Danio rerio: one gene and its partner. The protein of the gene in region 1 interacts with the protein of each later gene in a biochemical or structural test. Links are inferred from orthologs where the notes say so. Each region holds a gene or a part of one and is shown on either strand. Other genes may lie near its edges.

Region 1 (3,832 bases):
TCAAAACACCCTAGCGACACCTTAGCAACCACCTAGCAACACCTTAGCAACCATATAAAAAACACTCAGAACACCCTAGCAACCACCTAGCAACACCTTAGCAACCGCCTAGCAATGCTTTAGCAACCACCTAACAACACTTTAGCAACGACCTAGCAACACCATAGTAACTAACTAGACTATCCTAGCAACTACCTAGCAACCATTCAGAAATCCTTAGCAACAACCTAGCAACATCTTAGTAACTAACTAGACCAGCCTAGCAACGCCTTAGCAAGCACCTTGAACACTCTAGCAACCAATCAGAACGCCTTAGCAACCACCTAGAACACCCTAGCAACCGACTAGCAGCGCCTTAGTAATATAAATGAATAGAAAAATCCAGGTGGTACTGTAGTTCTTATCATATGCACAACTATATCAAAAATAGTTGTGCTTTTAGCTTCACAGAACAGAAAGTTTCTATTGAAGATGTAATTTTGGGGTTGCATCAGCACCTGAGTTGTTCAAACAGGCCTGTGAAAAACAAACCTCTGCCGTCAGATGAGAAGTGTGAAGATTTGCAAACAGGAATAATGAAGGCTCTGGTATTGTGTGATATCTGTGCTGCTAATATAAAAACAGCTCAGAGGAAGGGAACCGTTTTACATCCTGCTGATGCATTAAAGCGGGTTCAATCAATCACTAAATCTAGTGAAATCCTCAGCGATATTTTGTAATGATGCAGCTAAAATGTGATTGTTGAAATGTGTGTGTGTGTGTGTTTGTGTGTGTGTGTGTGTTTTCAGTGTCCTCTATGTGCAGCAGTGCTCCTGGCTCTGGTCCCAGCTCTCCTAACAGCTCAAACTGTGCCATTGCTGAGAATGGATCCAGCGGATCCGTCCCAAACATCCACGCTGAGGTGAGAGACCTACCCCCACACATTTCCTTCACTTCTGTTCACGCATTTTACTCGTTTCTCAATAGTTTAGTAATGAAAAAGACTCAATAAATTGTGATGGCCTGGGCTAATACTGGTTAATCTCGAAGAAAAAAAAAAAAACACGTTCTGGGAATCAGTTTTGAAGTTGTTGCTATGGGTTCTAGAATGGCCGCAACTGCTCTGGATGGACAACCGGAAGCTGCTTAGGGTCACCTCTGCATGCTAAACAGCTAGTCTTAAGGATCACCTTAACCTTGAGAGCTGGAGAGAGTGAAATTGAGTGTGCACATGCCAGAAAAGGCTTAAAGCTGTAGAGGCAGAACACAGGATTTGAATGAGCTTGTGTTTGATTTTTGGATGACTTAGTCGCTAAATGCAAAGCAAAACACTTTTGTTAGACAAATATTTGGCATTTTATTTTACATTGATCTTGCATTTAAAATGCATATAATTATGCTGAATAATTCATGTAATTGCTTCATGTGCAATGTATTTGGCTTTTTGTCTTGAATAATTATTTTTTGAGAGAGATAAAATAATCTTAATAGTAAATTTTTTATTAAAATACAAATATGTTATAATTATAAATGACCACATGTTGGTTTATTAGATTATAAATAATAGAATATATATATATATATATATATATATTCTATTATGTAAAAATGAGCTTTTTTTTTTATAATTTCTTAGTAAGCATGGTTTATTATTAGGCAATCCATAGGCTATATTTGTCAATACAGCTGATGTAAAAGCATTTTTAATGTTTAAGATTAAATACTGTTTTTTGGAAACCGAATGTGTGTGTTTATTTAACTATTAATGTTATACTTTTGAAAGATATTCTTTAAAAGATCTTCTTTCACTCAGCCAGATTGCTTGCGTTTCCGCCTATACAAGAAAACAACTTGTTACGTTTATTGCGACGGGCATTGTCGCTGTCCACTCGGGAAACACAACCCATTTGGTTCACTCCGCAAGCTTGCAAGCTGTGTGTGCGCAAGTCTGTGTTGCGAGCTATGTTTGTGCGTATCGCGCGAGCCTCCACTGAGTGCGTGCGCATAGCTGAAAACTGTGAAGGCTTTTATACAGAAGCACAAGCATTTCTTATGTGAAATTTCTTAACTGAGCTAACGAATATCAAATATTGATAATTAGAAAAGGTTGGTCAGTTAAATTATGCTACTGTAAGTAATGATTATTCAGCAATAATTCCCCAGTACTGATAGCAGAATAAGTACTTATCAATACTTCGGCCTTTTGTAATGTAGCACCGATACCGATAAAATACAGAGCTTCGGTACCCATCCCTATTTTTAAGCCTTGTTTCATACACATGGATGATAATTGAGGTTTTTTTATTTACATTTCATAGTTGTTTTGTGATAATGCAAGGAAGCATTGTTATTTAGGAGTGCATCAGTGGATGGCTCATGGAGAACCAATGAAGTATTAATTACTAAGTATAAATAACTATTTATGTCGTATGATGTTATTTACAAATATCTTTGACAATTAAGTACCTTATGCAAGTAATACTTTAGTGAACCCTCTAGACATCACTTTTGGCAACAAATGTACCTTTAATATATATACAATTACTCATATTATGTTGTACTGCTTTGGTTGTATTATAGTCTAAATATGGGGTGTTTTGCATGATTGGCAAAAAAAAATCAACCATATTCATACATGATTTTTACATAATGGTTTAGCTAGTGGTACATTATGTGTTGGGTTTTTCCATGACCTGTATTTTCATGATAGAAATCATGTGATTTTAGCTTCCCTTTGCATGGGGTGTGCTGGAATAGATCTTTCATCAGACTCATCAACCACAGAAAAGGATCCCATCAAATAGCGCCTGTGGAGATGACTTAAGAATCACCTCATTAGCTCTATCTGGCGTTCAAAAGCTACGTACCACTCCCCAAAATAGTCTTAGATTGTTATTCCAGAGCCTCTGTAGCCTAGCAGTACAACCCCGGGAGAAATGATGGATAAATGCGACGGAGAATAGAATGCTGACATCATTGCCACTGCAGGTACAGCGCTCTGCCATTGAATGTCTGCTTTGTCTTTTGCTTCCTTGTCTTTTCTTAACCTTTGCGTCAGAGTGAGAATGACGCAGCTCAATGAACAGCTCATAATGAAAAGCTTAAATTGGGTCTTTGGGGATGAATAAATGTTGCCTTGTAAAGCAGATCCATTAGTTTTTGTTCTTCGCCTTTAAAAATGGCTGCACTCCAAGTCTAGGGTTAGATGATGGGATTACCAGCACTCAGGAACACCTCCGCATTTCTCACTTAGCTCTCTTTTGGGTCATTTTTTGCTCATTAGAAATTAGAATAAAGACTCTGTGCAAAACCCATTTTAATTATCCTCATAACTGCTTAGTCCATTTCCTGAATCGGTTGCCATCTTCATGTGGCATTGATCCAAACCCAAATACAGATTAGCCATTCCCACATGCTTCGTTCCCTATCAAAAATAAAACTTAGTGAGGATTTCCAAAGAAAAACTCTTTTAAGTGATCGAGCCATGCGGAGACTTCTTGTCTGGGATTCCTTCCTGAGATAAAACAGCTTCTTTCCTTAGAGTTGGGCTGTTTGAAGTGTACATCCTGAAATGCAGGCCTGTTGTTTGTCCTGAGGGACTCATATCTCTCTCTCTCCGTTTCTCTTACGACAGCAGTTACGTTCTCTGCATCAGTCTTTGACTGGCGATGGGGCACCGAGTCCCCTAAGCCTCTACACTTCTCCATCTTTGCCCAACATCTCCCTGGGACTGCCTGCCAACGCCCACATCACGGTGAGTGTCCTTTGCTAAAGCTTGGTGGAGTTTTGATTGTTAAGGTGATTCAGAGTTCACAAATGGTGTAGACTGAATCCTAGTGGATCATTATGGTGC
Region 2 (3,832 bases), on another chromosome or scaffold:
AACCAGCCAGGGATCATTACAAGTGGAGGTCAGTGTGGCTTATTAGTAAACTAATGCTGCAAATGTTAATTCAACAATTCAATAATGCTTTATAAAGTATGTCATCCTGTTCTTTACCCAGGTAAACTGTTCAGCATGGGTCATAACCCCTCTCTGGGTAGCGTGGACTCAGAGTATGATATGGGCTCCATGCACAGTGACCTCAGTCTGCTTGAAGACGGGCCCTCTCTTAATGAGGTGGTCCTGGCCAACACACCAGTGACCCGCTTGACTCCACCGTTCATCAGTGCTCGGCCCGCGAACCCCACCATGCAGGCACTGAGCACCCAGAGGAGAGAAACGCACAACCGCTCTCCCATCAGCTTCAGAGAGGGCCGCAGGGCTTCAGACACATCACTCACACAAGGTGAAGGGCATATAATATATTTACTTAATAAATGGTATTACAAAAATTACATATTGTGCAGCCCTAAGTGAGATTGCTCACTGATGTTCAAAGGTTGGATGAAATCAAACTTTACAACATTTTGCTAGCGCGTTGTTAGTCTTGAAAAGTGAACAATTAGTCCCTACACCAGGGGTGCCCAAACTTTGTCGAATGAAGGATCAAAAACCAAATATTACTAATAGCTGTGGGTCAAATAAAAGTATACCAAACTGTTTTACATTTAAAAAAACACCATGGGTAATTTTCTAATTAATTTCATAACGTTAAAAAAATAAATAGAAAGCATTATTTTGAATCTTTGAACTTTTATAACTTATGGCAACACATTTATAACACAGTGGAGTTCAATGCTGAACACACTAGGATTCAGAGAGTCTTTGCCTTGATTCGCTCAACAAAGTCTCTGCATTGTCCTCTCTCCGTCAAGTGTACATTTTAAACTAAATCTTATTAAATTTACACTGTTTGCATTAAAACGTTCCATTTCAGATTGAAGCTTAACTATAAAACAAACAAGTATAAGGTTACAATAAATCTAAAATGATATTCTCTAAACCATTCTCAGATGGCATGAAGGCGCCAACTTTGGCCTGCAGGCCCTAGTTTGGGCATCTCTGCCCTACACTGAAAGTAAAGAGTTTGTAATCAAAATCTAACCATTTGCTTCTCCTCTGGAATGACATCAGTTTGATGGCCTGGGGCGAGATATGCTTAGCAACACCCTCAAATCATTCCTTTGCTGCAAGTGAAAAATGAGAGGAGAATTGCAAAAGTAAAACCCCACACCCTTAATATTTGAGTTGGAAATATGTCGTCATACTTAAAAGTCTGCAGTAACTTCCAATTCATATGGGATTTAATTTGCTGCGTTTCATTGAAAAATATATACATAATAAAATATTTAGCAGCTATCAGAATCAGAAGAAATGTTTCTTCAGCATCAAATCAGCATCTTGGAATGATTATGATTCCTGAAGAATCATGTGACATTTGTCAGCTGGTAATATTATTTCTATTTTAAAAATAGTTCAAAATTAGAAATAAAAAACATTACATGATAGATTAACATTAAATGTTAATGTTCTTAACAAGTGTAAAATTTTACATGTTTACTAATAATCACAGTCATTTTAACATTTGTACTGTTATATGTGCATTAGATATAAAAAAATATAAAAAGTAATACATTTTTCTGCTCTTCCTTCTCATTTTCTCACACTTATTATTTTTTTCACACCCTTTCCCTCCCTCCCTGTTTCTCTCTTGTTTTCCTCCTCTAAATGCGCCACCCCCTGTCAGATGATTCATTGTGTGAATCAGAGAACCCTTTGAAGATTAGGCCAAGTCAGTCCTATTGAGTTCTCTCATCCTGTGGCCTGAATAATTACCCTTAATCACTTGAAGCCCTAAAATAACCTAAGAATCAACCCATCTACCCTCTTCCGATAGGCAGCAGAGGAGTCAAGAGCCACTAAACGGCATTTTAATGTGTACTTGAGCGATGAATAAAGCATTTGCAGCCCTGCCTGGACATATCTTGTCCTGAAATAGACTGATTAGCCGTGTTAAGTGAGGTCACGTGGTAGTGGTGCACCGGAGCAGTCAGAGGTGGTGTGGGCTTCAGGGAACAAGAGTCACTTCCTCAGTTCTGACACTCCCATCTGAAAATACATGACCACACATGGATGTAGACACTAAGGGCAGAACGTCTGATGATCTGTAAATCATTCGGAAATAACACTGCTATTATTCATAATCTTATTCCTCTCTCTGTGTAGGCTTGGTGGCCTTTAGACAGCACCTACAGAATCTGGCACGTACCAAAGGTATCCTGGAGCTAAATAAGGTGTACGCGCAGATGGGCTCTGGAGAAACCCCATCCCTGGGGCTGCTGAGCCCTCAGGCCCATCCACATGGCTTACTGGACCCTGCACTACAGGTCAGTCCACCAGGAGAGATACTAGATTTACAGATTTGGCTTAACCTGTCACTTTTTTGTAGTATGCCGTACAATCAGGCAGCAGAAAAGGTGTATTTAAAACATCTATCTTTTTTTGTTGTTCTTTATGAACTTAAAGACAATGAAGTTAGTTTGCAAATGAGTTAATGCAGGCAAATTACTTTGTTTAGCCAAACATAAAATGAAAAGTAAATTACCAGTACATTTTAATGTTCATTCATTTACTTCGATACAATGGCCATCAGAGGCATTTACATTTACTGATCAAAATGCTGGAGTTTTGAACAGTGCTGACTTGTTCTCTTATGTAAATAGGAGATTAACTTTTTTTTACAGAACATTATATAAAAGCACTTTAATAACAGAATTTTGTGATGTTGCGATGTACATAGTCACCGACTGACAGTTTTTTTGTGATTATAACAGCAGCACTCTTTTCTAGGCAACTGTCCTTTTAGAATTTCAATACATTCACTAACTCACAAATCACTAACAGCAATAGTCAATATAAGATTATTTACCACTGTGTCATTTACATTCATGGCATCAAGGAATCATTTTATGGGGAAAATATTTAAATGTCATTTGATTAAAGATGATTTTTACATAGGGCTGGGCAATTTGGCTTAAAATCAACATCTCGATTAATTAAACATTTTAACTCGGTTAACTATTATTATTTATTTTTTATTTTTATTTATTTTATTTATTTTTTTTGCCCTCATAGATCACGGTGAAGTTTTCTACAGTAAATGTGCTCACATATTACAAGTGAGAGATTTTTGAATAAAGGATGCATTACTTGATTTTAAAATTATTGAAGGAAACACACACTACTATCAATAATGATCTACTATCAATGATTATTAATTGAACATCAACATTAAACAACTGAAATTAAAGCATACATTGCCTAAATAACTTGCATAAATATATCTTCTAAATCAACTCTTGCATATCCTGTAAATAATATTTTAAACAGTGCATTTCTTGCATCTTCTGTAAACAAGTATTTTACTGTAAAGGAAAAAATGCCATCTCAAGGCATCTCTGGCGCAGCTTACAATCATTGTCAGTGTAATCGTCAAAAGTAAAGCTCAAGAATGGGTTTATAGTCCTTCTTGACCAGAGATCAGATGTGGCCGTGGAAGTATAAACCAGCTACTTCAAAGAGCGGGTTCACGTGACTTAAACACTATTTACTAAAACCATTTAAACAATTACATTCTTCCTTTAAAAATGATAAATGCTTTTATTAACTATCCATGTTTTTGGAAAAAAAATCTTGCAATTGATAGTGTGCTTCACGCAGATGAGTGGGCTTGACAAACTACCTGTAGAACAAAATTTCTCTCTTCTGTATGTGCTGAGGGGAGAGGAAATAAAGCATCTGGTAAATGCATAAATGTAAACATTTGCCAATA

What was found.
Region 2: of the proteins of hdac5 (region 1) and sik2b, one has a biochemical effect on the other in vitro, tested with the Homo sapiens proteins (2 studies listed by BioGRID). The link is inferred for Danio rerio from reciprocal best matches to the Homo sapiens genes HDAC5 and SIK2.

What each region holds. Positions count from the first base shown.
Region 1 is NC_133178.1:21,695,971-21,699,802, forward strand, and holds part of hdac5 (histone deacetylase 5), read left to right. Parts: intron 1-788; coding exon 789-901; intron 902-3,613; coding exon 3,614-3,733; intron 3,734-3,832. UniProt on the Homo sapiens protein: Responsible for the deacetylation of lysine residues on the N-terminal part of the core histones (H2A, H2B, H3 and H4).
Region 2 is NC_133190.1:24,253,292-24,257,123, reverse strand, and holds part of sik2b (serine/threonine-protein kinase SIK2), read left to right. Parts: coding exon 1-28; intron 29-121; coding exon 122-406; intron 407-2,226; coding exon 2,227-2,387; intron 2,388-3,832. UniProt on the Homo sapiens protein: Serine/threonine-protein kinase that plays a role in many biological processes such as fatty acid oxidation, autophagy, immune response or glucose metabolism.